Linked DNA regions of Styela clava. The protein of the gene in region 1 interacts with the protein of each later gene in a pairwise test. Links are inferred from orthologs where the notes say so. Each region holds a gene or a part of one and is shown in the gene's direction. Other genes may lie near its edges.

The links.
Region 2: the proteins of ubiquitin-conjugating enzyme E2 A (region 1) and calreticulin-like interact in a two-hybrid assay, tested with the Caenorhabditis elegans proteins (2 studies listed by BioGRID). The link is inferred for Styela clava from reciprocal best matches to the Caenorhabditis elegans genes ubc-1 and crt-1.
Region 3: the proteins of ubiquitin-conjugating enzyme E2 A (region 1) and unconventional myosin-VIIa-like interact in a two-hybrid assay, tested with the Caenorhabditis elegans proteins (2 studies listed by BioGRID). The link is inferred for Styela clava from reciprocal best matches to the Caenorhabditis elegans genes ubc-1 and hum-6.

The regions. Positions count from the first base shown.
Region 1 is NC_135259.1:10,180,180-10,191,011, forward strand, and holds ubiquitin-conjugating enzyme E2 A, read left to right. Parts: upstream 1-5,720; 5' UTR 5,721-5,757; coding exon 5,758-6,228; 3' UTR 6,229-7,304; downstream 7,305-10,832. Other genes in the region: uncharacterized protein LOC120338084, read right to left, coding at 10,612-10,832. UniProt on the Caenorhabditis elegans protein: Catalyzes the covalent attachment of ubiquitin to other proteins.
Region 2 is NC_135260.1:6,838,610-6,849,852, forward strand, and holds the start of calreticulin-like, read left to right. Parts: upstream 1-5,636; 5' UTR 5,637-5,711; coding exon 5,712-5,796; intron 5,797-6,548; coding exon 6,549-6,675; intron 6,676-7,172; coding exon 7,173-7,351; intron 7,352-7,813; coding exon 7,814-8,124; intron 8,125-8,604; coding exon 8,605-8,862; intron 8,863-9,429; coding exon 9,430-9,633; intron 9,634-10,580; coding exon 10,581-10,691; 3' UTR 10,692-11,243. Other genes in the region: uncharacterized protein LOC120347616, read left to right, coding at 672-790, 1,295-1,517. UniProt on the Caenorhabditis elegans protein: Molecular calcium-binding chaperone promoting folding, oligomeric assembly and quality control in the endoplasmic reticulum (ER) via the calreticulin/calnexin cycle.
Region 3 is NC_135258.1:2,554,512-2,566,576, reverse strand, and holds the start of unconventional myosin-VIIa-like, read left to right. Parts: upstream 1-7,622; 5' UTR 7,623-7,981; coding exon 7,982-8,038; intron 8,039-8,578; coding exon 8,579-8,695; intron 8,696-9,368; coding exon 9,369-9,518; intron 9,519-10,093; coding exon 10,094-10,111; intron 10,112-11,023; coding exon 11,024-11,208; intron 11,209-12,065. UniProt on the Caenorhabditis elegans protein: Myosins are actin-based motor molecules with ATPase activity. Unconventional myosins serve in intracellular movements. Their highly divergent tails are presumed to bind to membranous compartments, which would be moved relative to actin filaments.

The DNA.
Region 1 (10,832 bases):
TTTATCATGATAAAAATATCAAAAAAGATGTAAAAAATATTCTATCCTCAAAACTGCCCACGTCTACAATGAAAGATATCTAGAAAATTACAAAAAATGCAAATTTCTGCTCTGGTGATCACATTCCCTGATAAGAGCTAATGTTAAAATTGTTTTGTTTACATCACTTTTCTTTTGCGCGTAGGATGGGTTTTTATTGAATGAGGTCTGCGATTTTTTAGAATGCCAACTTTTACTCACAACACCACACAGTGGCCATTCTTTGTTACCACTTATGTCACGTGACCACGACTTTTACATAGAGTCATTAATTCTTCTCACTTTCCCAAATTGTTTCTAGTTTCGGGAAGTGACTGGAAGATTCGGGTCGGTACCGGTAAGTCTGTAAGTAGGGTATCCGTGTATAAGCTACAGCTTTAACACCGTGTATTCATTCACCTAGTTACAAATCATATAGGTTTGTGTTTCATAGGCGGTACCGGTACCGTACGTTACCATATATCATGTTACATGTATTATTGGGTTTATTTAGGGATAGGCTAATTTAGAATTTTGCTAGGTTACCCTCACCGTATTTCTGCTTTCCGCTTCGCTACCCTGGTACCGTACACTATCGGTACTTTGTTTTATTTCACAATTCCAGGGTTTTAATGATTAAAATAGCCTATATCATTCATTGATATACCGGTACCGTACTGCCATAGCTGTTGATGAATATAGAAAATAGGAAAACAGATCAGTGTTTTACGTGGTGCGATAAAAACAAAACTCTATGGATTTAAGTGTATTTTCTGTGAATAAATATAAATCAATCCTTCATTCATTATTACTGTATAATTATTATAATTAACGAAAGTGGAGCTGAACCTAAAAATTCCAACGCAAACACGATAAGACTATTCCAATATTCTATTGATTCTCTTCTATCTGTCTATTGCAATATCGCATAATGCTTCGTTGACAAAAGTACTTCAGCACTCGAGTTTCTGAGTTTGGCTGGGCCAAAACGTCTGGTCTGAAAGTCTATGTATTTAAACATCTAGATACCACTCCAATCTAACTACTTTTCCACAAAATCTCTACAAAATTTGCTCAAAAACTAAGAAATTTCGGTATAAAAGCATAGTCAAGTCCAGGATTTTCCTGTAAGACTGTAAGAAGTTGTGAAAAATTAAGTAAATAGAGATATACTGGCAATGAAGCAATAATATAAATAATATGAAATATATCATTTAACGATCTTTGGAGTTTCAGTTCGCGAGGAGGTCTTTTGAGTTCTGATTTGTGCTTTTAATTACTGAATTATACTACAGTACTATATTATTGACAGTATCCCTTCCACATCAGATTTTACACTGATATTGTTATGTTCAATATTTTATTTATTCATTGTTACATTGTTATTCTGCTCTGTTTCTAAGTCACAGATTCACTAAGAATTTGTTATTGACACTTAATGTTCAACAAAAGATAACTTCTATGAGCCGAGTGTAAAGAGAAAATTCAGTAGTAGGCCTATAGAAATAACAAAATCTGAAGTCCCATTATACAGTAGGGCACAGTTCTCAAATTCCAAGATGTCCTGACATTTGGTTCAATAAAACCAAATACTCAATTTATCTCTGAAATGAATGTGTCTGGCACAACGGCAGATGCGCCACATTGTGCCATGCTTGTTTTGGTCATGATTCAAATCAATCATGACGTGTGGCGGCCTGCTATAACTCTTGAATGATACTGTAGAATCCAAAGGGCTCGTTTTTACATTGCGTTTCCTTTTAGTTTAATATGCAGTGCCGGTTCACCCATACAAACGTCTAGATTGCATCATGGAGGAAAGTTTTATCCCCACTGTTATAATAGACTACTTGGAAATTGGAATCGAACAATTGTACCGTACTGTTTTATCACACTCTTATTGCTGTTTTGCTAAGGCCATCATAAACTTGGGAATATTTGATGAAATAAATTTTGGCATGCCGTTTAGACTATGTAGAAAGTAATAAATATATAATATAGCTTAGGGCACTATCATCATTAATTGAACTCCAGGGTAATACAGTAATTAGAGAGTCTATTAATGAAGTGAAAATGACTTTAACACTAGGATGATTGTGTCACTTCTATCCAATATGTATTCGGTTATAATTTTAACAGGTTTTCACAATGATGGTTGATATTTTTTGTTAAAGTATCGTACAAAAGATAGTGAGAGAAGCCATAGAAAAATCACTAAATTTATTTCTGGGTTAATTTAGCTGTTAATTGTTGTTATTTTAGATGTTTGATTAATTTGTTATTTTAGGTTTGGTCAGTTCAATTTGGTTTTTAGATGCAAAAGTAAAAAAAAATGTTGGTTGTTAAAATTTGAATTTTTTCGGCTTAGTAGTTGGATGCGGATGGATAGGTAATGAGACGTTACATTTAATTTAAGGGATTAAATGGTAATATGTAGAAACTTGCATTGAGCTGATTTGTACGTCTTTTGTTTTAGGACTAGAATGCTATTTTATCGGATTTGGACGTGAATCTGTAATTAACAAAATTAGTTACTTCCATATTAATACACACACTTCTGGAGCGAACAAGCCAGTTCTGTGACAGATCAATTAATTCAATCTTCAACCCTTGTACAATTAATTATATCTATAATAATGTTGTGCAATCTCCTGCTTTTCATTTTATTTTAAACTGTAAATTACATTTTTTAAAAGGGGCACGGTAATTTATAGACCAGAGGTTGTCAACCGAGATTCGGCAGCCCCTAGGGTTCTGCCAAAACGGTCCAGGGATTCCACAGGTTCAAATTTGAGATTCTATGTTAATATATATACATATATTAATAGTTTATGCAATTCTTCTCACAGCCTTACAATTATGGATAGATTTGTGATGAAACGTACGTTAAAATAAAAACCCGTTACACAGGAATACCTTGAGCCTTGAAATGTTTCATTGGCGGTAAACTCCACAAAAATAGTTGAAAACGACTGATATAGACCCTATGGAATACAATTTGCTTATTCATTCTATGAATTATTTGCATTTTAGATTTCAGTTGGCATATCATTTAATAATAATAGTTCAAATATAATGACATCATTAGCAAGAAAACGACTGATGAGGGATTTTAAAAGAATGCTTGATGACCCTCCTGAAGGAATCAGTGGAGCTCCTATCGAAAATAATCTCATGAAATGGGACGTTGTTATTTTTGGTCCTGCTGAAACCCCATTCGAACATGGAATATTCAGATTGAGTATGGATTTTACTGAAGATTATCCAAACAAACCTCCATCTGTTAAATTCATATCAAAAATGTTTCATCCAAATGTTTATTCTGATGGTAGAATATGCATTGACATTTTGGAAAACAAGTGGAGTCCAACATACAATGTTTCTTCCATTTTAACATCAATACAATCACTTCTTGATGAACCGAATCCAAGTAGTCCTGCTAACTATCAGGCTGCTCTTTTATATAAAGACAGTCGCATCGATTATGCAAAAAAAGTTTCTGTAATTGTTGAAGAAAGTTGGAAAGAATGCAAATCATGATAGCCGCTATATTTGTGTATCATTTTTACTTCATTATTAGATAATATGATGTTCTTTTTCTGCCCATATTCTTATATTGAATTTATTAATAATCGTACGCAATTATATGACAATAGCATGTTCAGTATTGAGTTAATTACAGAATTCTGTAGGTAGAAACATTATTCTTTTATTTCAAATTTATGTTAGCCAAGCATCGATAGATCAGACGAATAAAAGTCTGTCATGAATAAATATGCTTAATGTGGAATCGTCATAATATTATTGATCTATTACTTATCTAAATGATTTCAGGCTGTATTAATTAATCCCCAGAATATTTGTGTGGTTACTTTCTTCCTGCCATAAATTCCCATACATTTCTGTCAAGTACATTCTATATTATCATTTCATTTTGCAATAGTATTCCAAAAAGTTTCACTGAAAATTTTTGGTTTATTATTTTTTGGCAAAGCATAAGTTTCTATGTCATTATTTAGCATTTATCGTATATGGTCTATACTTTTATTTTTATCATTTATATTGTCTATATCTAGCTTAGGGACTTCAATATTGACTTAGTTTTGCATTCTAAGGTAAAAATAGTTCAATTGTGTCTGTATGAGCAAGTCTGACAAATCATTACTGAAATATATTTGTTAGGATAGCATTTATATATTTATCCTGTTGAAGAGGAAAATTGATAAAACGGTTTAATCGTATTGCAAACCACAGCCTCTCATCCTGTTACTTGTCCATGTCAGGTATTGGGTAAGTTAGCCAGTTATTTGCTCCAGATGCATGGACTTGATGATGGAGGAAGCCGTAACCGACCAGCGGTAATGTGAACCACCCTACGACGGCGAGGAGTCCAACAATCCTCTCGAACATGATTATTCCTCACAGGATCCGAACCTGCGAACCCAAGCAGGGTAATTGTGAGCGTATTCCTAACGCTTAGCACAATGCGCCGCATCGCCAAGTCATCGTCGTTAGTTAGTGTCCGCAACTCGTGAATTCAGTCATTTTTATTATTTTTAATCATTCAAACTTTTATTTTGTATAATAGCAATACCTTTGTATTCTGTTTACTAAACTAAACTTACCAATGGCCATTCTTGACACTCACTCGACAAGAAGGATTCAGCCTTATTTGAGAGTGAGTCAATTATACATGCTATGGGTCATTATATTATACATTAGTGATTTTTGCTATTATCTCAAATGTTGTTCTTTTTTTCCTCTTCGGGGGAATTTTAAGATTTACATTTTGAGTTTGTATGATTAAACTGTGCACTTCTTAATTTTTGTTTCATAAATTGTCAAACATATTCTTTATGAATTGTTATTGGATCGATTTTTTGGAATTGATCAATTATGTCAGACAACATTATCCTTAAGTTCATGGCGCACTGTCATTGTTTATTGCGCTATGCATATTATAAAGGCATATCTGATAATAAATGGTACACTTTGATTCCCATCCATCGCTTTGTAGAAGTTGAAACTCATTTTTCCATATGTCTTTCATTTTGGTTCGCTCACGGTATAATCCCTTGAAGGCTAAAATGAGCTGACTCACTGATGACTCATGTTTTACTATTTAACTAGAAAAGTATTTTGGAAATCAATATATTATTGAAAATATTTGAATTGAATGGGTAGGAATTGGTATCTATTTCAACCATTTTGAAACTTTATTGGTGTGACGTGTGAGCCTATTATCTGTTGTCAACCCTATAATGCCTGAAAGGATATATTTTGAAATATAAAATATTTCTAAAAGGAATGATTCTTCTTTATACATGACTAAATATGCTTGAATAAAGTTCCCATTAAAATGTAAATATATAACTCAACTGTACTAATAATAATATTTCCTATTATTCTTGAAATTACAAGTTTAAAATTTATAACTGAATTATTATGTGTATGTATTTCATTTTTCAAAGTAGAGGTGTAGAGCATTTGTAAATTAGGATAATGGTATAATTTATTACCACACATCCTTTTACAAGCGAAATTCTGGTAAAATATGGGGTAGGCTTTTATTATCGAATTGTGTATACATCACTGGTGACCTTATTTTTATGTCGCACATTGCTATTAATGTCTTTGTTGTTTTTTCAGATATTTAGATTGTTGTTTTTTCAGATATTTAGATTAAAATAGGGATTGAATAGTATATAAGAAATTGGCGAACCAAATTAAAAAAGTAATATGTCTACACCAGCTAGAAGAAGATTAATGCGTGATTTTAAAAAATTGCAAGAAGATCCTCCTACTGGAGTAAGTGGGGCACCAACTGACAACAATATAATGATATGGAATGCTTTAATATTTGGTCCAGTTGATACACCTTTTGAAGATGGAACGTTTCGATTGACTATAGAATTTACAGAGGAGTATCCGAATAAGCCTCCTTCTGTTAAATTTGCTTCAAAAATGTTTCACCCAAATGTTTATGCTGATGGCGGAATATGCTTAGACATTTTACAAAACCGATGGAGTCCCACATACGATGTTTCATCGATTTTAACGTCAATACAATCACTTTTGGACGAACCAAATCCGAACAGCCCGGCGAATAATCAAGCTGCACAATTGTATCAAGAAAATCGTCGAGAGTATGAGAAAAAAGTTTGTTGCATCGTTGAGGAAAGTTGGAAAGAATGTAATTGTAGATGTTGATCCATTTGGCCGATTTTATTTTGTGTGCTTTTTACATTATGTTTTATTGATACCGTTGTCAAGATTTTTTCTTTATTGTAGCAGACAATACTATAACTAACTTTGGTAACCGCTTAAAATTATCTTTCTAAAATGTACAGTAAAGGTATAAGTGAACCACCCATGCTTGCGCCTGCCATAATGGTGTGGTCATATCTACGCATGCTTCAGAAATATTTCACCATAGAAAAGTGGTTGTATAATTACCAATAAAATTTTTCTGTATAATTTCCACAGTAAGCCATTGTGAAACAAAATCATGATATGTATCTACTTGATGAAAATGTTGATATAAATTGCACAAAACATTGTTTTCTGTCCATAGATTTAGATTCTTAAGATTAATATTGGTCTTTCAATATATTGGAATCCATGAGAGCCAGACTATTTGAAACAACGCTAAAAGCTCATTTGTCTTAATCATAACGAATTTAAAAACAATGATAGTTTCCTGGTTTTTCCATGAGTTGTATACTTCTAGTTTTTTCTTTACCTCTCAGCACTTTGTTGAAGCCTAAGCTAAACTGTGTGAATAGCAAATATGTAATAAACACTTAAACACTCAAGATATTGGCATGGACGATATAAAAAGAACGTCATTGTTACAATTACAATTAGCTTCTCAATACCAAAATCTCAAATGAAACTTGACTCCCAAGTCCCAAGTGACTTGTCTCCCAATTAATGTTTAAAAATAATATTCAATTTTTGTCTCAATTTTGCTGGTGATTATATGGAGTGTACTATTCTGCAAGTTTTCTAGCATATTGGAAATTATGATTGTAAATATTATTTATTATCAGAAACAAATGTTTCATTGGGCTTGCTTGTTTTATATGATGAAAAGCTCACTTTTACACAGTGAAGTTTGAGCCATCCATCACCCAAGCAAAAAAAATCTAGTTCAAGGTTTTATCAAAAAGATATCCACAGGCAAAACCAAATTAAATCAACACAAATGATACTCGCAACATACAATAGTTTGTATATTGGAAACTTCTTTGCTCTGTGAAATAAATTATTCTATTATGAACTTATATTTATATACCAGTAATTGTTTAGGTGGGTGATTTAATGAGGGAAGGCAGACAAACATAGACTGTCACACCCTACAAACCTACAACATTCAGGAGTTCAATATTCCTCTTGCACTCAAAATGTCCCCCAAAGTATCTTGGCCCCCAAAGTATCTTGGCCACCATTAGCAGTAAGATCACAAGTGTGTTGCTGACATTTGCAAGGTGTGCCAACCATGGAGTAAAGTTTGGTCCAGCGTTGTACTCGTTAGCTGATTTATCAGCCATTTTTGATATCTAAATATAAAGGCTGTTATTGTATAGAGAGAATTCGAGAAAAAGATTGGTTTGGTATTCGGTACAATCAGTTGGGAGTGGATAAAAAATTCAGATCTTGGTCATCGGTTTTTGTTTAACTGACATGTGTATTTCTTGACTCTTGACTAAGCGAGATTAAATTAGATTGATTTAAAAATTCGGCGCTCCAGATGTGTGTGTACGTACCAATATGGAGGTGACTGATTTTGTTCGCCTACTTTACATCAAGTTGTGTGATGGCACTGAAGCCCATGGGTAGGGGGTACATAAACTTGGCTAACACAGACAGTCCCCGAGCTTGTAATAGAATTAAAATAAGGAAAATCGGAGTAAAATTATAGCCCAACCCTAACCTGATACACACACTGCGGGAGTACCAAAAATTCAAATATATCGCGCAATGTTGTACGATTTTACTCATATTTACATCGCCTTTTTATGCCCACAGTAAAAATTAAAGCTGCGCCTTTTGTTAATAGGCATTTGAGCGTAATTTTATTATGCGGACGCAATAGATTTTAGTTTCATATGACTGTAGTAACGAATAACACCTGGTGCCATTTAAAAATCTACGTCACTTCCTTTCTGGGTTAATGTTCAAGCAGTTGGTTTCACGCCGATGTTGGTCATACATCACGTGAGCGTACGTATCAGAAGCGTGACGTCAATTAATTTATAAAACGTAAATAAACCCCGTCTTAGTCAAACTACATCATTCGAAATAACTTGTTAAAAATTAGGTCTATACGCGTAGGAGATTTAGCGAGATTTGTGTCTCGTAAAGGGATGAGTTTGATTACTGCATTCCGAAAAATGACGTCTTGTTGTCTATATCACTCACGTTTCTACTGCTAATGTATTATCATGAATAATCGCGTATTAGCACTCAATTGCTAATGCGCTGTGAACATACACATTAACATAAAGCAAATCGATGCCAATCTATACTCAATGCATACCAATTACTGTGAAACCCCAACAGAAGAGAATTATTCTTCGGAACGTTGCTGAGAAAAAATGGCATTTCCATATGTTTGAGTATTACAACTTTAATGTAATAGGAAAAGCGTGGCTCGGGGAGATTTAGCCTTTCCATTCATATTTTCTTAAATCGACAAATTTTACCGATGACCCTATTAGATCTCACTGATAGACTACGTTAAACTTGGGTTTCCATGCGACGTCTTCTGAAACGGTCTTCGGTTCGTTAAAAATGCCTGCTTTTTCACGGTATAATACCCCTTTTTCAAGGTAGCTCGCGGTTGAGACGACTCATGACAAAATAAAGTCATTACATATCTAAAATACCACATAAGGATGTGAGATCAACTGCCCGACAATATTTAGTTTTGATATATATTGCGCTCATGCTAATTAGTTATTGTTGTTAGAAAGATCTGGTATAAATATATATTCAATTTAGTACAATGAAATTACATATAAAGTATATTAGTAAATCAGAAATACATATTCATCGCCCATAACACCCGCGATACGGCTCCTGAATCAGTTGTTGAGATTACACCACTCGTTAATAGCCGACTTTTTCAACGGATATGTGTTGGTTTTCCTGTTGATAAAAAATTCAATCCATGATCGATATAAATATTTGAAATGGTTGCTTGATCCACACTACAGGTGTGCCGCGGGAACAAGGAATATACGAGATTTGCGAAGTCCAAGAAAGTGTTTTTGAACTGTCGCGTTCCATCCCATAACAAAACCCGTTGGTGTTTTCCGTTTTAGTTTTAGTATTTTATAATGCCGCTTTTTCCATCAAGAAATTTTTGGTTGCGGATTCACTTCTTTATTCTATCTTTAGCATCTCGTCGCTGATATGATTATATAATAATAAAAAAACTAACTCGTTTTTCACACAGGAGTCATGGTTCCATGCGAGAACGCAAAAAAGTAATTATCATGTCTTCGCGGCACAAAATATTTGTTGACAGAAATGAGGGCAAAACAATCGGAGATTCGAACAAAATGCAATCGCAAACGTCATTAGGGACTTTATTTTTCAGCGCTCAGGGGCCGGGAAAAGTCCACATGCATAATTACTATTTACAATTGAACGACTTTTTTATGCTACAAATCTACATAAATTCATTTGCACTTCTCCATTGTGTAAACTGTATTTTTGACCTGGTGGTTGTCCAAAGGTAATGGTAGTGAATTTTAGAGAAGTTAGGCAAGCCAAGAAGTCTGTAATTGTTGTGTATTTTTAACACATAGTAATTATTACTTATCGATTTTAATCGGTAAGTATGTTGATAGGTATTTGTCTGTCTGTATGTATGTCTGTTAGATGCACGCGATATCTCACGAAGGCGTTGAAGGTTGAATCTGATCCAAATTTTGCATGTGCATTCATCATATCTCGGACCAGAAGCCTATTGATTTTGGATGAATTATGTCATATAATTAGCGAGTTATTAATTAATTAGTGATGAAGAAATCATAAACAAAAATACAAACATAATGGGACAACGAGTCCTGGATCCACTACCACAGATATTGTCGACTTTTCATTTTACGTTGGCGATGAAGACTATCAAAGCCGACAATAAAGAAATAAATAAAAAATAAATTAATTTGCAAATTTAGGCTCCAAATTCGTTCCTATAATTGCGCCCAGCGTTCGTCGAACAGAACGCACAGTTCTGCGAGAAATACGGAAAAAATATAAATGCCCACCAGGGCGCAAGACTTGACACATACGTAATAATAAGAACCGGCATTTGGATGTAGATAGATGGCAGGAATAATCACACCAACTTCACAAAACATACTTAAGCTAACATGATGAAAATCTAAAAGTCTGCTTTCAAACTTAATAGGGCGGGCCGCAAAGAACAGTCCGGCGGGCCACATGCGGCCCGCCGGTTGGACAGCCTTCCTCATACGATATGGTGAAATACTGCCAACCGTTCGATTACCAGATCGGGGCGATGTTGAAAATCCCATTGCATGTGGACAAAAAAGTAACTTTAAAAAATGTAAATTTTATTCAGTAAAATGAACTAGATATGAATAAAACAAGAATAAAACTTGCGCAACAAATGACGCCATTCTTAGGTACCGTAATGTAGCCTGGTATGTGACAATCCTGTAAATTGATTCCATGCTCTTGGTGCCCGAGTTCGTAGTATTCTAAGAATCCAGCTATCAGCCAAATACATCCCAGAAGCAAGCAGATCGCAGTCATAAACATTATGAGCTTGTTAACAA
Region 2 (11,243 bases), on another chromosome or scaffold:
TTAATCTCGCGTTAACATTTTGACGACAAGTCTGTCGTCTGTGAGTTGGCCCCGATAGTATTATTTTAAGTATCTTTACGTTATTCCCGATTACAGAGCTATCTTCGACAATCACAAAATAGGATTCATAAGATGATATCTATAACCGAATATTGATACTTTATATATTTAATCTTTATAGATTAGAATTGAATATTGCCAATAGTAAAATATTCTTGATTTTTCTGTTTCTATTCTCTAAGCAACTTTATTTTTCAAACTTATAAAAGAATCTCTTAAATATTTATGAGACCTATTTATGCTGCGGATAGAAAGAATCAAAAGACAGACTAATTCTGCCACGAATAAATATTTCATGTTTTTGCCCTGAGAAGCTAATATCCAGCGCGAGAAGGATTATTCAAAACATTTAGTTTCGAAATTTATATTCGCGGTTGAATAAACTGCTTACTATTAGATAACTCGTTATAAAATAGAATTCATACAATTCTGGCATCGCAGACGGCCCGGAACTGTAACCACAAAAATATAATAAAAGAGAAATATTGCCAATAAGTTATCGATCGATAGTTTTACAAAAGACAGTTTGACAATTTAATCGTTCCACATGACGTTTACCTTTATTTTCTTCAACTTTATTACAGTTTAAAAATCTGACATTATTTTTTCAGAGAGACAACGAAGTCCGACGATACGCCAATTATTACGAAAATTTTGTAAAAAGGCCACAGTTCAAAAGACCCCAATTACTCCCAAATTATACTTTGCGTAGATCGTGGTATAAAAGCAGGTAAGTTTAGGAATATTATTTCTATATTCTATGATAGTTCATGGTCTTTAGTTTGCTTACCATCCAGTCTTACGGAAAGTGCGATTGTTAATCAACACGTAGCGTAGAGAAAATTCACACGGTACTCACCGTCCAAAAACAGTAGTTTCCTAACCCTAAGATTTCACTTTTTTAAATTAGATATTTGAACGTTGGATGTCACTGCTCGATAACCAGCTCTGGTTCCCCGCGACTTCCCTTCTCCAGTAAAACTGTAATTTTAATTTTTTTTCCGTCTTTTCTGTGGTTATTTTTTTTTATTTACTGGTTGGAAAAATTATACTTGACTTGGCAACCCCATCCTACGTAATCACCGTGATGGTGCTACCACGAACAGCATTTTATCAGTAACAGATACATATATATGGGTCGGTTTACATTCGTACTTAGGATTAATACACTTTGGGGCAATTTATGAATTGAGTTTATATAACAAGTTGATTCAGTACTTATTTTTTTTTACAGAATTCACAGAGGCTCGTGCACACCATCTCACGTTGAAACTGTAACTGATGTCGGCAGTGTGGAAGTGTTTGATCTCGATGATCACCATAGATGTGATTCTATATCTGCCACAGCTCAATGTACATTGCATAAACAAGACAAACACTTTGACAAAAGATCATCGGCAATAATCGTGGTAAATGCAATGCCAGCGTCAACTCAAACTGAAATTCAAGATGTATGAACAACTGAATTCACAGCAGGATTAACTTCGCTTCACAAAATTGCTAAATCAACGGCATTTCTACGACAACCGACGTCGAGGTTTGAAACAGCAGACTCCCAGCAGAACGGCGTGATCTTCAAGGCCTGCGTTAGCATATATCGAATTAGATGTAGGGTTGCCTGTATATATATATATATGTGTAATCGAATTAAATCAATGTTGTAAATCACGTTTCCATTGGTTTCAACTTTTACAATCATATGACTATTGAATCATTTTTGTCATTTTGCAATACGCATGTGCTATGTATGTTGCGTACATTTGGAAATAAATTTGAGATTTCACACACAAATAAAATCACACTTCATTTTTCTGTATGCAGAACGATGAGAGAGCAATTTTATACGGCAGTTTATCGGGTCAAAATTCCGATATGAATGATGAAAAGTGGGTGGATAAAATCGCAGCATCGTCGTATTATTAGTCCATTACTATATCACGCTGAGAAATATTACTTACGTGGTAGTAGGCCTATCTACTAAAGACGGCTGTATCGGCTAAATGTAGACCGATATATTAGGATTTTTAATCTGATCCAGAGTTTTAAAAAATAAGTTGGAATATGGATGTTGATATTATTTTTTGCTTACAGGGATAGTGTTCGCGGTATTGGCTCCGATAACTCTGAGACATGCTCTCCTTCAGCCCCGCGTGTAGAAATGAGAACAGGATTCTGACCTGTTTATCAGCCAAACTAGCTCAACTAATTTGTGTTTTTTCGCTACCAATTTTTATATTGACATCTTCAATATCACATGGTAGTTATGAAGAAATATCAATCAAACATTAGCGAATTTCCCGATGTGTAAAAGACAAAATACGATTTACATTGGCCTGCACACGCAACGCAACCTTTTTTTAACTTGCGGCACATTTATATAACTTGCCAAATTCGACGGCACACCACAACAATTATGTTCATATTTCCATCAGAGATTTGTGGTTGTTTTAATGAGCACAATCGCTATATATTAGGATCAATACGTGAAAGAGCAACTCGAAGTTCGCCGTCAACATCTTTTATGCAGGATCTTTTATCGTTATTGATCAGTAATAAAGAGGAAAAACTTTGTTCGCACATATAAGTTGTGCAAAACTGGAGCAATATTTCAATAGTTGCATTGGAAACGTGCGCCTGTATTCTTCTTTTATTAAAATTCAAAACACATCAAGTGGAATTTTGCTGAATTTCAGTCTTAGCGTCTGTCATTTCTTACTTCAACGAAATTTTCTCGAATACGCAGGAGTAATTCTTTCGTTAACATTTCAGCACTAGTTGAGAAAGGATTCCGGATCCAGTCGTATCGTTCATTGTTAATTGCGAAAAAGTACCAGTGCTTATCTTTGCTGTATTAAAGTTAAGTGCTTTTTCGCCAAATTTGACACGAAACCGTATTTCGTATTTAAGTGGCGCATAAGTTTACTCGGAACCATTGCTTCATTTGAAAGTTGCTCCCCACAAATGCAGACTGGTTTTGGAGCATCTTTGTCTCCTCTCCCCCGGGATAAATATGTAAATCCTATCCTATCCTACGTCACAAATGCACAGTGACAGAAATTTGACTTGGTGTCGCTCAAGCTAACGTAGAAACATGTTAACTTTACGTTAGTAGAGTAGAGTAGTAGACTAAATTAAAATTAACAAAGAATAAAAAAAATTGTAAAAAAGAGAGAAGAGTTGCAATTCCTGTGCGGCACACCTGGTATCATATCGCGGCACACCGGTGCGCCGCGGCACACCGGTTGCGGAGCAATGATCTAGATCAGGGGTTCTCAAACTTTTGATGTTACGGAGCCCTTGAAGAGGTTGACCATTCTTCACGGAGCCCCACAAATAAATTTTGAAAATAAAGCAGACAAAAAATACATGTTGATATTTAGTGATTAATATTCCTGAGTAAGTTAAAAATACCTTACCTAATTTAAATGCTAAAACTTTTTATTCTAAATTGCACGGATAAATTATACATATTAGGCCTGTAAATTTGACACACATATTAATGAATACTCTTTTGATATTTTGGAAGAATGAAGAAGTCGCTCATAACATGCGCGATAGCATTTTGCTGTAATCACCGATTGTTTTCGTAGCGATGCGTGTTTTTTAGTTAGACCCTAACATCTATATGTGGTGTTTATTCTCCCTAATCACACATTTTTCTTGCTTGTTCCGCGAATGCGATAATTACGTTTTTGTCTTTGTGCGTAATTGTGAGTTTAGTATGGAAAACAAGTTAATACAATATAATCATCGGCGACGAGATGCTAAAAATAATTAATAAGGGGGTGAATCAGCAACCCAAATTTCTTGATTGGAAAGCGGTATTATATAATACTAAAACGGAAGAAAACATGATAATTTTTATTTTAGCGGACTCGCGACAGATTAAAAACGCTTTTTTAGACATTGTGAATCACAAACTTTGATGTTATGTTAGGTTATCAATGGGTGTTGTACCGTAGTTACTGAAATCAATACAATAATTGTGCGCTCGAATTTTATTATTGGTGTTTTTGCTTATTAACAGTTACAGAATAACCAAGTCCGTATTTTGATCGAATATCTCGCGGAGCCCCTAGGTTTCTCTCGCGGAGCCCTGGGGCTCCGTACGGAGCACTTTGAGAACCTATGATCTATTCTAGATCACAAAGCACTTCATTTCAGCATTAGCCCATTCAACTGCCGAACTTATATTGATTCGATTGTCTGACATACATCAGCAAAATCAGAATGTGCAAACTTTGTGGTAATTGTGACAAATGCGTTCACATTTTTAATGATAATGTCACGCCTGAATCACATTGTCATAATGAATTGCGCCAAACACCTCAAAGAAAAGTTCCAAGTTTGGATATGAGGTAAGTGGCCATTTTGCATTTCGGGGTTGATTAGCTGTAAGCAACCAAGTTGCGAGAACAAGAAATATGCGCGAGATTACAGTTTTGACAGAACGAACTTTTCTACTCAAATCACATATTGAGCGGTAGAATACTGCTGATATTCTATCTTTTTGTACATCCCCATTTCTTTAGGCTATGTTTCAGTACAATTTTGTTGGAGTATAACCCAGGCTGGCACCGTAATCAACGGCGCTGACAACACAGATTGGGGAAAATTTGTACATTACATCGGGGTATGGTAACAAAGGATGCTTGGAATCGTGTCCCCGATACAGGTGACATCTGTGAAGAATCTGAACTTCGAAAAAGAGTTTAGAATTTTCTGTACATAGTGTGCGTACTTTTTATTAATCGAATTTTAGATTATGTATTATACATCTTAAAGCAGATAATTTCGGTTTGAGAAATCAGCAAAACTATGGATGGATATAGATTCGGTTCCCGTACATTTGAACCCATACTAACCCTAACCCATTGGTTTTAGCAACCGTATATAGATTCAAATGAAGTTGAATTTGCACCCACATATAAAAGCAAGACGTCTTTGTTGTGTGATATGACAATAAGCATTTATTATGATCAATTAACTGTTCTCATATTCAGCATAAAGAGATCACAAAGTGCATCTTTCCGTTCCTGTTTTCTTCCATATTAAGTGATTTTATCAGTGGCTCAGTCCGATACAAATGTAGGCTTCAGTCTGTGCGATTGGTGATACCCGCCAGCCGCCGACGTGCGCGAATACTTCCTATGCGATGGAAGTAATACCAGTCACAGATCACGGTTAACCTAATATTCCTCCGCAATGTTTATTTTATCGAATAAATACCCGAAACAAATAGGGGGAAACTCCTGCTGCCAACAATCTGCTGCGTGTATTTCCCTTCCGTCGCGCCTCGTTTCAGACCTCGTATTACGTCTGTGGCGTTGTATGATTGGAGTTTCAACCGGTGGCGTGACCAATCACAGCGAGCCAGCTCTTGTTTTCAGTGACGTAACTTTTACGTGTGCGTTCATTCAGGGTACACGCTTGCTATTGCTACAGAGTATTGCGGCAAGCTTACGCTCAGTTTTCAGCCGAATTGCCTTATAGATTCATGCATTTTAGTTGATATACAAGTGTAAGCTTGTTTAGATTTGCGAAGTATGTGACAGTGTACTTGAGTTTATTCAAATGGGCTTATTTTTCTTCTAATAATCTTTTTCACATCAACCAGGGTTCCAATAAAGTAGTAATTAGGACAATAAAAAATGAAATTCTTTGTCACATTTATATGTCTATTAGTCTTGGCCAAAGTCAATGCGGAGGTATACTTCAAAGACTATTTCACAGACGGTGAGTGTTTTCATAAAATTTAAGTTTACTGGTTTAGAAAAAGGTGACCGAAGTAAACGTCTGAACGTATTTCCCACAACAACCTTAAACCACAGTGTCGGGTGTGTTTTCAAGTAGCATTTGTCACAAAAGAATAAATTTCATTTCAAAACCAAACACGAGAAAAGATACCGAAAATACCACCTTATTTCTTGGGAAACAATTTAAAACGTAATAAAACTAAAAACTAAAAGCTTTATGCTGTTATATAGTTTCCTTGAAAAACTGATTAGAACGATAAACTCTTTATTCCTAAATATATTTGAAGTGAGTGAACTCGCGACCTTTGATCACTTTTGGGTCCGCAAGTACTCCTCAAAAATTTTTGCGGCCCTTCATCCTCGCATACTTGGACCACTCTGTCCTGTATCATTATAATTCGAAAATTTAAACGAACACAGTTCTATAACGTCAGACATAAAAATGCCTTTTAGAGAATATTAATGTGTTTTTCTCAACATTGTAACCCTGAAAAGATCGAAGTTACACTCCTATAATCTTGAAATGTTGCCGTAGAAAACCCGAAGAGACGGACAACTCACCAGAACTCTCTGTAGTCGAGTTGTCTCTGTTGAGTTGTCTGTGTAGTCGAGTTGTCCGCCTCTTATATAAAGTACCGTATAATAAATCTTCATACCATAATAAAAAACTCACTGATGGGAACCTCAAGACTCCCAATGCAACAGCCTAAGTATTTTTCTTATTATTTATAGCGGATTGGGAAGCTCGGTGGAAAGAATCTAAACACAAATCTGATTATGGAAAATGGATTTTAACAGCAGGAAAATTTTATAATGATGAAGAACAGGATAAAGGACTCAAAACTAGTGAAGATGCCAAGTACGTTAATGATAATCTTTTCATGAAGATTTTTTTCAGAAATCTGCAAATTGAGGAAAATTTAAGTCCAAAAATAATCGAGTTCTAATTTTCTGACCTTGCGTAGTTTTGTACCTCAAGTACTTCTAGCGGGCGTAGCGTGAGGATTTTGACCCTATGTCTGTATGTCAATCCTAACCCTCACTTGACTAGGCCATCCAAAAATTACGTCACTACGACGTCACAAAATTATTTGGCTACGCCCACTAGAAGCAATTGAGTTATGAAACTATACTAGACCCTAATTTTCGATTGACAATTTAATAGGCCACAGTAGTATTCAGCATGTTGAACCAAATTTATTAGTGTTGTGGTTTAAAGATTGTGTAGTTGCAAATTGTGAATAGTATACCCACCCAGGAAGATTTTGCTCGTATTCGATCTTATATGCTCTCTGTCTGTTATTTATTTTGAGTCTCGTTTGTATTGTAGTGACGTATCAAATTTTTTTATTTTAGATTCTATGCAATTTCTTCTAAATTTGACAAATTTTCCAATGAGGATAAAGATCTCGTCATTCAATTCTCTGTCAAGCATGAACAAAATATTGATTGCGGAGGAGGATATATCAAACTTTTCCCATCTGCATTACAGTCTGAAGATATGCATGGAGATTCACAATATAACATTATGTTTGGTAAGATATGACTTGACCATTGAATGCAGGGTGATGTGAATATTGTCAACTTACTGTTGTTCTTGTTGAATGAAGCCTAGCCCGGCCCAGATATTTTGAGAGCTAACTATTGTTAAATACTTGATATGGCAGTACAAAATATATCAATTGTTAGTTATTGCTTTGAATAAAGTTAGTGATAAGCTAGGTTAAAAAAAATTCTTGTTTTTGATCTTTCCTTTCTAAAATTAAATCATCATTAATAAGTATGTTTTAACGAACTTCATTGTACAATACAACAAAATATTATTGGACATTTCTTGCTGGTAATATTCATCAGTATCATTCACATACCCGGTTTGGTGATGAACATCTTAAGTGTTTGTCGTGTTACGTAATCCATATTTTTGCTAAGTGGCAATGATGTAGCAACTGAAACGTGTGTCTACGTTTTGTTCTTACCAAAATAATCTTTCATTTCAGGTCCTGATATTTGTGGGCCAGGTACTAAGAAAGTGCATGTCATCTTTCATTACAAGGGAAAGAATTTACTAATTAAGAAAGATATCAGATGTAAGGATGATGAAACTACACACGTTTACACCTTAATTGTGAAACCAGACAATACGTATGAAGTTTTAATTGACAATGCAAAAGCACAATCCGGAAGCCTTGAAACAGAATGGGATTTCTTGGAAGCAAAAGAAATTAAAGATCCTGATCAATCTAAACCCTCACAGGAAGAATGGGACGAACGTGAGAAGATCCCTGACCCAGATGCAACAAAACCAGAGGTTTGTTGGCGCTCCGGAAGTATGTGCACCAAAATGGCGCACAACCTGAATCAGAACCTGGCACACATACTATGTTCAGGTTGTGCGTCATCTTGGTGCACATTGGGAGCACTGGTTTGTCACCTGTTACCTTTCTCAACCTTCATTAAAAAAAAATTAATAAATTATTAGTATCTCAAGTCATATTTGAGCTATCCTTTTATTTTCCTTGCGGGGCCTGATGCAATATCTTTTAAAACTTCTGTTAAAAGATGCATTTTAATAATTGCAAAAATATTGCATTGCTAAAATCTGAAATTGACCTGCTTTCAACCATTGAAGACTATCGAACATTTTAATCAGTGGTCTAAATTCTCATTTTTAAGTAACAATGTTTGTATTTTTATTTACTATAAATGTCTTACATAGCATAATTCAAAAGAGATGTATATTTATTACTCTTTTCTGCTGTTTAGTATTAACTTGCATTTTTATCTGAAGGATTGGGACAAGCCCGAACACATTGTTGATCCTGATGCCACAAAACCTGACGATTGGGATGAAGATATGGACGGCGAATGGGAAGCTCCAATGATCGATAACCCCGATTATAAGGGTGAATGGGAAGCCCCAATGATCGATAACCCAGACTACAAAGGAAAGTGGGTCCACCCTATGATTGCCAACCCCGCTTACGTTGCAGATGATAAGTTATACTTGTATGAAGATATCGGTGCTATTGGTCTTGATTTATGGCAGGTTTGTTTAATTAATATCAGACTTGGATTAATTTTGTAAATCAAGTAAAGTCGGCTTGACCGGGACACCGGTAGCATTCCTGTGTGGCCTTCACCTACTTCATATATGCGAATTGTCCGAACTATCGCAGGGCACTTAGTGCCACTTATACACTTAATAAGGATTTAATTAAAGTTCGTACAATGCAATCTGAAATGCGAAAGCGCATATGGTTATTAAGATCGGGCATTTTGAACTAATTTGCCAAAATGACGCTTTTTTTATTATTTCCTGTTAATAAACTGTTTTAGTTGACTCATCATGAATGTCTTTTTGCAAGATAAAAGTGCGTGTGTTGTATGTGATTTATTCTTGTGGAGTATTTTTTGACAGTAAAAATTTATGGGTGCTTGTGATTTGTAAATACATCCTAACTTCTGCAAACAGTTTTACTACTGCCTAGTTTTAACCAGTGCCAATTTAAGTAAGATATCTGATTGCTGCATTTTTCTATGTTGTATTGCTTTCTTCATTTGGTTATGTGAGATATGCTCGATAAGTAGATGTTTTATTTATTTTCACTTTTAGGTCAAATCCGGAACTATTTTCGATAATTTCCTTATCACTGATGACATTCAAACTGCAAAAGATGAATGCGATAAAATCATGAAGGAGACTGTTGTTGGTGAAAAGAAAATGAAAGAAGCCAAGGAGGAGGAAGATAGAAAAACGGCAGAAGCCGAGAGTGAGGATGATGATGAGGATGAGGAGGATGTAGCTGATGACGAGAGTGTGAGTAAAAACATTTTTTTTTGTGATAGTGAAGTATAGCTTCAGATTTGTCTGAAGGCTGACTGTCTTGGCTGCCTAACTGCCAGGTTAAATTGGATATCTAATTCATTTTATCAATGTTCAAATATTCTTATCATTGAATATGTGGTCATGTGCTATATCAGGGTTGGGCAAAGATTTTGGATCAGGGGCCAAAAATTCTGTCCACTTGGACTGGTGGGCCATGTAAACGTGATCTAAAAAAACATTTTATGAACAGTATTTATATACAGTGTTACAAAAGCAAAAGTGGAAAACAATGAGCCTTGTGCCGAAACTAAATTTCCTCGCAATCTAAAAAAAATTCTTGGTCTAATTTTTAGCTAAAACATCAAAATAGGGTTTTAGTTTAGTTAATCATAATGGTTTAATGTCCCGTGTTTAAAAAATAGTAAAGCCAAAAAATTGTTACATATGGGATACTTACCGGTAATGATTTGATATAGATTAAGGAATGGCTTGGGAAATGATTGATACATTTATTTTAGAATTAAGAAGTAAATGAATTTTTGCAGCGAGATTATGATTTATTCCATTTTAAGTATAATTTTTTGTGTATTGTTGATTGGTGGTGCAACAGTATATGAATTACTGAAGAAAAATCGTATTGTATAACAAAAGTGTATTAGAATATTCAACTCCTGGTGTTGGGGACACTCATACTTAACTGCCCTAACTTTATTGTATCTCTATTATATTATATTAGTTCAGTTATGGGAAAAGGATTTTTTAAAAACTCTAAATTTATGTCTAATGTTTAAGATGGTCAGTTGTGCATAGTATTGTATTTCTTAAATAAAAGTTTTCTTTGTAGTGTTTATCAAATTATAAGGCAGTATCATATTTGGTAGAAATAACCTAAATTAAAAGTCTGTACAATGTTGTCTAACTTTGACTCACTTTCACAGGACGAAGGTTTGGATGAACCAGAAGATTTAGACGAACCGGAAGATGAATTAGATCAAACGGAAGATGAAGAAGAACAAGATGAAGCGAAACAAGAAAAAGATGAATTGTAATTTCTTCGCCACTGTTCATCAAATCAATGAAAAGTTTTATTTATATTTGACAATTCCTAATGTTCGCCCCTTAGCCAATAAGCTGTCAAAAAAGTGCAACAAATTTGACAGCATTCTGCAGTAATTAAAATCTATTCTGGGGCAGAGTTTGAAACGATGGCCGAATGAGAATATCTCCTTTGCATTTTGGTAATAAAAATTTTCTATAATTCTGCTAAATCATATTAGTTCATAAATTGTACTCAATTGAGAATACTAAATTGAGAAATTTTGATTTTCCGATTATGAATTTCAAAAAGATGTTGGGAGACCTAGTTTGAGATGGCCTTAATAGAATCATTGCTCTTTACATTAAATTACTGATAGCTGCAAATTTTTTTAATATTCCCGAAGCGATATTGATCTGACTATGGAAAAGTTCAAATGCCATAGTGATTTCTTTATAAATTTGTATTCTCAGATAGGATGGTCTTAGTTTGCCATAATGAAGCATCATGCATTTTTGGTTGGTTCCATTAAAATCTTGTTTTTTACACCTGCTTGTCAGTTTTA
Region 3 (12,065 bases), on another chromosome or scaffold:
TGGCGCACAACCTGAACATAGTATGTGTACCAGTTTAGAGTTAGCAGGTGGTGCGCAATCTTGGTACGAATACTACGGGAGCGCTCTTTTTCATAAGAGTGAATCACCACATATCAGTGGCTGCTTGCGTAGAGCCTTGTTCAGACGAAAATGTGAGAGCGTCGCATAAAATAAATGACGGCAATCAACTTAATGTATATATAGGTGTGCCTGTTTACTCAAATTGTTGAAATCTTTGTTTTGTCATAGAGTCATGACTTTCATTTGTGCCATCGCAAAACTGATACTGCTTTCTCTTTTATCAATTATTGCATAAGTCAATATGACATCACAGTAACAGGAAAAGAAGAATTATTGGCTCATAAACCTGTTAATTATTACCCCACAATGCAAACAACACAGACGAAGATAAAGTAATGCATATTATCAAACCTTCGCCCCAAGCATGGTCCAATCCTAATTTTAACAAATAAAGCATGATTTATGTATTCCCCATACATGGAATGATTCTTATTTTTAGTTAAAATTGGCAAGAGACAGATAACTGGAAAATTACCTTATAAGTCACTTATTACATATAAAGCCCTATTATATGTTAGTAATTTGCTTTCTACAAGACCAACTAGTTATCATTCTTTTTCTTTTGTTCTGGTGGTATTACCCTTTTAAATAGGAATTTATGTGAGTCCTTAGGGGGTAGCTAATGATAGCATGAGCAAGAAAGTGAGGTGGTTAAATACAATTATATCTTATATAAGAAGTTATGGTAAAGGAGTGGCGCTCCAGAAAAGTGTACCAATATGGAGGCAACTAATTTTATTCGCCTACTTTACATCAAGTTGTGTAAAGGTACTGAAACCTATGCGCAGGGGGTATATTCACTTGACAAACACAGACAGTTTCCGAACTCGTAAATGAACTAAAATGAGGAAAATTAAAATAAAATTATGCCCTAACTCTATCCTGGTACATACACTACACTTCCGAAAGAGGAGTGTGCTTACCTGATATCTAAACAAGGCTTTGGGCAAGCAGATTAATTCATAAGTAATTTCTATATTTTGGAGGTATCAGACTTTAACTAATACGTAATATAATTGTGGGTGAATTAAATGACCCCTCAGGCCCCATATTAGTCACTTCTTCCATCGTAAGTACTAAAGATTTTGGGTCGGTTGATTCAATAGTTGCAGAAAGAATGATTCTTCCACGACAACAATTTATCAAAATGTCCCACACATCCACTCCAGGTCCAAACAGTCAAACCGTTTTTATCAATCTGACAATAACTAATTAGCCTCAGGCAATTTCCCACCCAGCTGGTTGTTATCTTCGTTAGTTAACAATGTTTACGCAATACATTAATTATAAATGATTGTGACGCAACAGTTGGTTACCCTATGACAGCATAGAGGTTTGGTTTCATGAATTATGACTGTACAATAGGTATGTTATCTGCTTTGTTTGCAAATAGGAAACAATGAATAATTGAAATGGGAGATTTTCGTGGTCAGGCAAGACTTAGAATTGGAATGAAATATGTCATTTAGACGTTTGAGTCATACAGATAGAAAGAATGAACTAATTTGAACCAACTTGAACTCGCTTTGACCAGTTTAAACCAATTAATTATAGTTTTTCCTATTTATCAAGGAAGCTGATAGTAACTTATGGCATCTTGTGAGATCCTGATTTCCATCCATACAATTAGATTATGTATTCGTGGATGCTTGTAGAGAACCCTTTATTCTGATACATCGTGCCAATTCTTTTTAGAAGTTTTTTCATAAAATAACGTTTATGATGTTTTCACAGTTATCTTATCCTAACAACCATTACTCTAGCTAAGGCACTTTGAAATTGTGGAAAGGAATATCATTGTTTATAAGGTATTTTGAACAATTAATTATCAACTCTAAATCTGACTTTTATGCTATGTGTATGTGCTTTTATTGTGTTGTCTTGTGTTATAAATCTAACTCATGCTTTATGTGCTTTTATTTATTATGTGTTGTTTGTGTTCATCAAACTAATTTTCATGTGGTTCTCTGGAGTATGTGTTCAACTGCTCCAGTTTATGTGTCATTTTATGTTGCCCTGTTTGAGCTCCATACTTTACCTATTTGTTTTTTAATCATTTCAAGCCAACTTTATAATGCAATTTTAACATTAACAGAAAAACTTGGAAGAAACAAAAACTCTGAACAGAGCAAAGAGTCAAGATGGCGTTGATTCGGGAGGTGAGTCTTTGAATATTTGATTTTGTGGTGAAAATATACAAAATTCAATTTTGACATTCCAAGAGCTGCGAAGCTATAGAACAGCAGTTCCCAAACTGGGGCCCATGGAAGTTTTTAAGGAGGCCACAATGATAAGTGCAAAGCTGATTTTATTTTTCATTTTACAAAAAGCCCTCCATCGGTATTTTTACAACATTTGTTCGAGGACGTGGGTGCATGCTTTAACTGTATTTGCAAAAAAAGTGAAATATACTATCTTAAGGTTGTACACCATTATATAGGATATGTTGTATTATTTTCTGGTCTACTCTTAAGCTTTACTGGAAATAGGGAGGTAACGAAAATCAAATTTTATCAGTGTATCAGCTAAAGTATACTAATTGACATTTCCTGTCCGAACTACTGTATTATTAATGCTGTAATTGTCACGATTATATACTAAATCCTGTTTTCCCTTTTAAATATTCAACCACAAACATGCAATGAATAAGGTGAACAATATGGCTCAGCCAACAGCAATGGAGAGAAATAAAAATATAGGCCTCCACTAATGCAAAAATGTGAAATTTGAGAAAAACACCTTTAAAATAACAAATTAATAATTATTCAGTTAGGGTTTGGGCTGTCAATTATTTAAAAGTTCGAATTTCCTGCGCAATCTGCATTCCTAGCCCTAACCCTAACAGGATAATTACTAATTTTATTATTTTGAGCTTTGGGGGGAAGGGTGTTTTTTGGACTGTACGTCCATGAGATTTATGTACTACAGCACCAAGGGTTTTAGGATTAATCTTCTGTTTTCCATATCATCCTATTTAGTCATTGTGTGATAAACTTGACTAGTCCATTTTAAACATTATTTACCCTTATTTTGGTTTTTAGTTAATTATTCTGTGTCTAAAACTAATATTTCAAAAAAGTTAAACATATGGTTATCTAATGCAAACCAGTGTGAAAGAGATTTGAGATTTGAATCAGAAAACTGGTTTTATTTTGAAGTTAAGGAAGTGTGCAATATCCGTCTGGTGGTGCTAGAGAGTTAGTCAGTTTGTTCAAAATATGTTGAAAAATACTGAAATGTTATGAATGGTAATTTTATCAATTTTCTAAACATAAATCTTGGTACACATACTTTGGGAGCGCCAAAATTAAATTATTAGCACAAATTTAGGAAGCATGGAAAATATCTGGCATCTCCTTACAGCAGTTGTTGGCAAACAACGGTCCATAAATAAATTTTTGGGGCCTTTTAACGACCTCCTTTCATTGCATAACATGAAAAGTGCTCATAATGTTATTATCTATGTTGGGATATATGTCATAACAATGGTTGTTGTGTCCCTTTTGTTTTTGTAGTGATTACCCTACCCAAAAGCACATGCCCGTTGTATACTTACGTTACCGGAAATGCGTTTGATTGGCCCAGTAGTAGATAAACTTCGTCAACTACTGTCTTACAGGTTGTCCGTGTAGTATTTTCATATCTCTTGTATAAGCCTCATCCTCGTCCTATGTTTTTGCCTTGTGTGTTATCTTTTCTGCTATTGGGATATTTTTGACTTTACAGTAGAATCAGTGTTCCCATATGAGTTATTATTTTAATGGACACATAATCTTCTTATTATCTTATTATTTGAGTCAACCCAAGACGTTTTCAGAGATGCGGGGCAAATGTATTTCTAATTAGAGCTGAGATCTGAAGCATGAACTCGACCCGAAATTTTGGTCGGGTCGAGCCTGAAATGCTAATCATTACATTCAGGTCAAGTCGGGTCGGGTCGGGCTTCTCTATCGCTGACTTTTTTTTCGGCCTTGTTTTGGCCACGAGAGACCGTGGTTTGCAAAAAAACAGATTGCCTCATCGACACGACACATACTTTACCTAACTCTTGCAATGACAATACAATGAACCCCTGAATAAAATATGAAATTTCGGGTTTTCTTGTGGCTTGGGCCTGCAAATTCAATTAATTAATCGGGCTCGGTCGAGTCGGGTTTAATACCTACGGGCCTGGGTCGGCCCGGGCTGGTATTTTTGGGCCCGATGTTACCTCTATTCCTAATGCATAGAACGGTGTGTCACACCGCCGCTCTAGGAAAAAAATGGTATTTGGGTACACACTATTTTAATCTACCTTATAACCTAATATAATAGGCACCTTTCATTATAAAGGCCCAAAATCCTTTCAAAAGTGAATTATGTTAAGTTTTCATTGTATTATGAATATGTCCATAACCTATTATTATGTCACATAAAGAGGCTATGTCAGCCTTTGTTACATCATAATATGTTCATTCAAACGTGATATGATTCAATTTATCCTTATTTCAAATCTGGCCCGCATTATTAAATAGTCTAATTAGCATTCATTTTCGAGATGTTGATGTTATACCCTGCTCATCTTTGGGCCGGATTTAATTCATATATTTTATGTTAGGCCCATGCTTTATGGAATGAAATAAATTTTCAGATTATTCAGTATAAATTGAAATGTTTTCTGAAGGCTTTCCTATTTATATATCGAATGATGAATAATCATTATAGACTTCTGAAGATGACTTTTAGACAGGATATGAAGTTGTGGCAAGATATTTTGTTTGGTATGGTAAAATTGAACTGAAACATTTTCCTAAGACTTCTCTATTGTGAGATCAATTTTGGTTTTACTAAGTATAAATTGAAGCGTTTTTCAAACTTTTCTATTTACATATAGTATGATATTCAATATTGAGACATCAAGTAGAGATGTGCCAAGATGGGAAAAAATTTTCGAGTTAAATCGCTCAAAGCAAGGTGATTCAGATAGAAGTAGAGGAGTCTCATCTCTGAATAGGTGAATAACTATTGAAAGTATTTAGAACCAGGTGTATTGTGTTCAAGAGCTAATCCAGGGGTAGGGGTGGGGTTTGAATTCTATGTATTCTCTCGAAATTGTGAGATTAATGTTGTGCATCAGTTTTAAAAATTGTGTTTCGAATCAAAAGTCTAATAAAGTACAATACATATAGTACTTTGCATGGAATTGCTGTACTGTTTGAGATCTCTATAATTTGTTGCACGCCCTTCTACGTGGTCACGACCCTCAGTTTGGGAAGCCCTTCTCTAGCTAATAGGTCATTGAACAAATTATTTGAATTGTCTGTTCACAAATGCTTTTATAGTTTTATAAGCAATTACTATTTAGTCTTTGAGAATGGACTCATTTTCCACCTTTTTATATATCAGCTGATAATAATACTTCGCATACCTGATGAATTATTTATTCCCAATTAGAGAAGTACTTCCTAATTTTAACTTGGCCGTACACAAAATACTGCTATTACATGCTACTTAAGCATGGCCCATCTTTAAATTATGTTCATAAATGTTCATTTATGACTTGAAGGCGGCCACTGTTTATCAAATATTCACATTAAATGGCTGATGTTGTAAGTTATGATAGACTATCTTATGCTTATATGAAGGAAGAACGTTTAGATCTGAAAATAGTTTCTATGTTGCTTTGGCTCTGGATATCGTATAGAAAAATTCAAATTCAAATTAAGCCGAGTTTCTGAGCTTCGTTGCCATCGAAGTTTAAGATCATAAAATAGCTAGATAGGGCAGAGCCTTGTTCAGAACGAAAGACACAAAAAGGCTTACATAATCAAAAAAATATATTCTATACATGGCGCCAACGCTCGATATGATCTGTCAATTGTAAAACTAAGTTTCCAAGCTACGTTGGCCTAGTAGTTAAAGAACTTAAGATAGCTAGATAGTGAAGTGGGATTCAATAGTACTTGAGCCTACTTGAACTACATATTGTGTTTTTAAAAGTTTTGTTAATTGGAAGGCGTTGCCTGTTTGAGGGGCTGTTTTAGAATTCAGAATGAAGTCGAATTTTCGTTATCTGTAAAAATGTAGAAATATTGTCAGAATTCGACAATGTCAAGAAGAAAGATGATAGGAAGGATTAATCATATGGCTTATTACTGGATTAAAGCTGTTATTTTTATTTTTATAGTGTCTATCTGAGGGACATGATTTTTCATATTTGTGCATGGTGATGGTTACCAGTCCATGATGGTTGTGGAATTAGTAAATCAGCTTTTTATGTTTCGATTTCATTATTTTTATCTTGTAGAGGGGAAGGCTGAGAAATTGGCAACATGCCAACGAAGCATAATTCTTCTTTGAGGCAATTTCAAATCTTCACTCTGAAAAAGGCTATGTACACACAGCCACAGCATTGAGCGACTTTTTTATCCCTATTTCTGCAATTTCCACCTACTTAACACCTGGGATAAGCTGGTGGGCATCTGTTAATAATAATATTATGTTATATTATATTAAATATTATAAGATATCTTTTAATTCATTCACAAATCCAATCCCTGCTTGTTAAATCTATTTCAAACCCTATTTCCCACATGTATCTAAAATTACATATAGCAATGTAAACACACAATATTCCGAAATGTAATGGTGTGATCACATATGGAATGCCTAAACAAATATTTACTCTGGTCATTTCTTGTTTGCTGGTCGTGCTAGGGGTGAGTTAGTTAGAAAGAAATCAGTCAGCTTGTATGTTAGTGATATATCACCTAATTTTTATCTGGAAAATAGAAAGTGGTCAGTAGCAGACAGGACTGGCGGGTCCTTATGTAAAATAGATTGTGTGGTACCCAGTATGAGTAGAGATAGGAGAATCTAAAAGAATTGAATTTGTCAATATTTCAATATTTTCAACTGAATATTAAAATTATGATCAAGGCAACTTCACCTCATAATTCTGGCATATAATAAAGTAATGAAGTATATCACTTTTATTATACATGGATATACTGGTTAAAAATAATTACTTGTACATAGAATAAGAATGCGCCCCATGATAGTTTGAGGTCCACTGCGATTGTATTTACATAGGACATTCAGTTTTCGCCATCCCTGATTACTACTAAAGTGTTCTTTACCTAAATTAAAATTCATTCATTCAATACACATTAGGTTTCTAGAAGCATTCTTCGCTGAAGTAGCCAAGTTTGAATAGATTCCATATTGCATATCAAAAATTCATATTTCAGAATGTGTTCAATATACCATATTATTCATGAAAACAGATTCATTGAATATAACAGGGTGTCCATAAAGTCCCTTCACAATTCCAATTTTGTTAGGAAATCAGCTCTCAATATATCTCAACCAGGTTTGTTGTTTTTTAATCAGTAATTGTTTAAGTATTTTTTTTCATTTGATACATCTGTGAAGGCCAAAACTAAATATGGTATCGATGAATTCCCTTTGCAATTTTAAAAAATTTCAAGACTTAATGGACATTCAATTCATACATTCAAAAATATTATTTTATGAAGTAGTTGGGAAGCAGAAATTATTGAGTTTTGCTGATTTCCGATGATAAGCAATCATACGACTATAGCACTTATAGGTAACAAAAGCAAATAAAATTAGATTAAATATTTGAACAACACTCACAATACATGGGAATGCTTAACTTCTGTTGGAATTGTGTGCTTGAATGGGTGCGGACTGTTACATTCTTGATTTATGGGTTCTGGGTATTGTGTGTTGGGGATATAAAATAACAGTATATTATGGGTTTGTGAGGTTATGGGTTATTATGGGTACTATTTACAGTATGAGTTGAAAAAAATGAAATCGTAAACTGCAAACTATTGACTTATCTATCATATATTGATAACAACTGCTAGCTATTCACTGTAATCTAGGCCTTAGCATGTCAAATTTTTTTGGTCGACATTTTCTGGCAAAAGGTTCCACAACTGTTCAAAAGGTAGGTTACTAGCACATGTTGAATTTTTTGTAGTACTGGGATTTTTTTGCCTTCCGAACACAGATCTCAAAAGCAGCTGTTGATAGTATGGAATGGGATATTTTAAACTTTGTGTTCATCGGTGTGCACTTCGGACTATTTAGGATTTGTTCAAGTAAATTTGTACTGTGTGCTGTGAATGAACAAAATAAGTCATATGAAATGAAAAAATAAGGCGGACAAGATCAAGTAGGATAGGAGGATAGGATTTACATATTTATCCCCGGGGAGAGGAAAGCCGATAAGATGGCTTATCCATATGGCGAACCACGACCTCTCGTACGGTTACCATCCCTGCATGGGATTCGAACCTGCGAACCCACGCAGAGTAATTAGTGGTGCAGTGGCGAGCGTATTCCTAATGTTTAGCCCGTTGAGCCACACCGCCGCCCCCAAATCTAACAAATATTGTTATTTTTAATAAGCACCCCTATTTGTGGGCATACATTATGAGATCTACCATCTTTTTTACCACACTCATAACCATTTTCTTGTTTCTAGGGCGACCATGTCTGGTTATTGGATGCAGACCCTCAGTCTCAGTGCTCGGTACCGTTGGGTGCGATGGTCAAATCATCACAAGGTGGACAAATAAAAGTACTGGACGATGAGAAAAAGGTTAGTAAGATGGGTAACATTAAATTACGGTAATATTTATTTTCAGGGCAGAAAATAAGTAAAATAGAATAAGTAGGGTAACATAAATATTTACCTGGGAGAGATAAAGCCAATAAGATGTTCTAAGGTTCCCTCTGAGGTGCGCAACTGCTCCATTGCGCAGTACCACCAAACCATTTGTGCAGTGAAATCTCAATCTCGTGCGCTCGCAACATTACATTTTCGAAGCGTAGCTCTTCATGGCCGTTCTATGTTTCACATGTATTTTGGTTGCCATTATCCACTACATGTCTGTTGGGAGGAGTCCCCTTCAAGCTTACCCCCATTTAAGCTAATTGATTACAAATTTTGCTCCTGTTGGGAAGATGGACCTAAAAGTTACAGTAGTATGTATAATCTATAACATCTAAGGAAGCTTCTGGGATTCAGATATTTCCAAGAGGGGGGACTTTAGAATTTAAAAAAGGTCTCTCTCAAGAACCGTCTTTGACAAAATGTGGTGAACTTTCTTCTAGCCAATCGGTTACTAATTTTATGTGCTTCTGTCATGCCACCAGGGTCTAATACATAACTAAATCCAAACTAGGGCCTTGCACAGAAGTTATTCGAGTGTGGATCTGTGAATTCTTATTTTTTCTAATCAAAAACTGAAAACATTTGATTAATTTTTCAGGAAAGATGGTTGAAGTTTGCTTCAGCAAAGATCAAAGTGATGCATCCAACATCTGTAGAAGGAGTTGAGGACATGATCAGACTTGGCGATCTTAATGAAGCAGGAATCCTCAGAAATTTACTCATCAGATATTATGAAAATAAAATTTATGTGAGTGATGAAAGTTGGATTCTAAAATCAAGAAATTATTTTTATTTAAATTTGTTTATATGTGTTGCAAGGTTGGGATCCCCAGTTCAAAGAGCCATGATTTGGCTGAATTCCAAAAAATGAATCCCCAAAATAGCAAATACCCCGAGTACACACTTCATCAATAATGATCTTACGCTTATATGAAGACTCTTAACCTCTAATTTTATTGAAATTTTGGGCTCCCGTAGTATGTGCACCAATATGGTGGACACTGGAACGTAGTATGTGTACCAGGCCATAATTTATTTCAATTTTTTTTATTTTAGTTTTAATACGTGCTAGGGGACTAGCCAAGTGACTCCTGTAGTATTTGTACCCGAAGTTATGGCTTAACCCCAACCTGGTACACACACTACTTTCCTGTGTCCGCCTTCTTGGTGCACATACTACAGGAGTACCGAATTTTTTTTTTGACAGTTCGTCAAATGTCCCTCTTGCAAAATATGGTCCCATTAAAATCCTGAATATTATTTTAAACATTAAACCTTTTATACCTAATAATTCTTTTTGTTTGTTACTTTTGCGGGACACAGACATATGCAAGTGGAAAGGTAACTTTAAAATAAATGTGTGTTGTCTGGTGTAAGGTTTAATTTCAATTATACTGTAAAATATTAAGGATGTGATATTGAATCGGGGAAAATTCACTGCCGTCTTTGACTTCAAATTTCGAGATATTTAAAGACAACTACAGCTGTGCTTAACAAAAATAACTTTCAACTCAAGATAAATAGGAATTTTGGTATCAATTCCAGACTTGAAAAACAAATTTTATTTTTTTGTCTGTTGGTAATGTTTATAATTTTTGAGTTTATCACCATTCAAAGTCTGATATTCTGACTCCGGTTCTTGATTTCAGAAAATTCAAAAAGTTGGCTCTGACGCAGAAAAGTTTTAATATGTATACCACTCTAAAAATATCATTAAAAACATACTATAGGGGGACTCCATATTTTGATTCTACAGCGCAGATAAAACACATAAGATTGAAATTTAACTTTTAAAGCAGACGCAGACGCATGAGTTAAAAACATCTAGTTTAATTTGTATGAGAATGCTTTTGAAATTGGGTATTATTAGTTGGGCGAAGAACATTCTAGTTTCAGTTAGTTAGCTTATTGAATATGGTTATCATTTGACTAAATTCAGTATGAAAATGCTTTTAATTAAGAATATACGTTTCTATTGGGCACTCCTGTAGTATGTGAACCAAGATGGCACACAACCTGAACATAGTATGTGTACCTGGTTAGGGTTAGACCATAGTTTCAAGTACAAATACTGCTGGAATCACTGGCTAGTTCCCGAACTCGTTAATAGAACTAAAGTAAGGAAAATTGGAATAAAATTATGGCCTAACCCTAACCTGGTACACATACTATGTTCAGGTTGTGTGCCATCTTGGTGCACATACTACGGGAGCACCTTATATTATTTATACATGTTGACATTCTGTGTTACAGACCTACACTGGTTCAATCCTTGTGGCTGTCAATCCCTATCAAATCCTTCCCTTGTATGAGGTGGATCACATACGCATGTATACGAACAGAAAAATTGGAGAATTGCCGCCACATATATTTGCGATTGCAGACAATGCTTACTTCAACATGAAGAGGACACAGAAAGACCAATGTGTAATTGTCAGGTAAGGCATATGGGTTATGATGCGCTTTTTAAATCTTCGTTCTGATTAGAGATTTGGACAAGCGGACAGTCATATTTACCACTAGGTGGAGTAATGGGCTATCTTGTTTTTCTAAATTTGTAAAATACAATATTAAAATAATTAGGTCTATTACCGTGACCCAGGGGTTCTCAAACCATGGGTGGTTGTGACACCAGATTTTTCAGATGTAATCCTGACATATACCTCCTTCTCAGTGAGATTTTGATAAAATATCCAAATCTGAATGCCCAATCTAGCAATCAGTGTAGTTTTTCATGGCTTGGTTTTTCTTGAAGCTTTCATGGCTTCATGAGTATGACTATCGTCGCAAATTTATTACATTCCACTCCCCACATTATCTTTGCATGAGGTTGTAGGTATTGGTCATGATCAACGTGATTGTTAAAGGTACAACAGCCCGAAAGTTTAATACTATCGTATATTTTGTTTGTTTAGGTTTGGCCCAAGCCTCATTTAATTGGGCTTGTGTTTTTGTGTGCGTGATGGTGGGCAGGCATATGAGATAGTTCTCATGTTTTAAACTTTTTTTATAGGTTTTGCTTGCCCTCCAGAATTCTCCATTTTTAATTTATGTTTGTTATGGAGTTTTCGAAATAAACTATCTATCTATCTATCTAATATGTTTCTAATTATGTGTGAACACCCAGCAAGCTGTTTAAGTAATTAATGTTCCCGAAGGATCATCACAACAAATAAAATGCATACGATTACATATCTTCCAAGATTTGACTCGATTTGAAAAAATATTCGATTCGATTCCAAAATCATCAAGTAGGATAGGGTTTACATATTTATCCTATCACTTGGCGAACCAC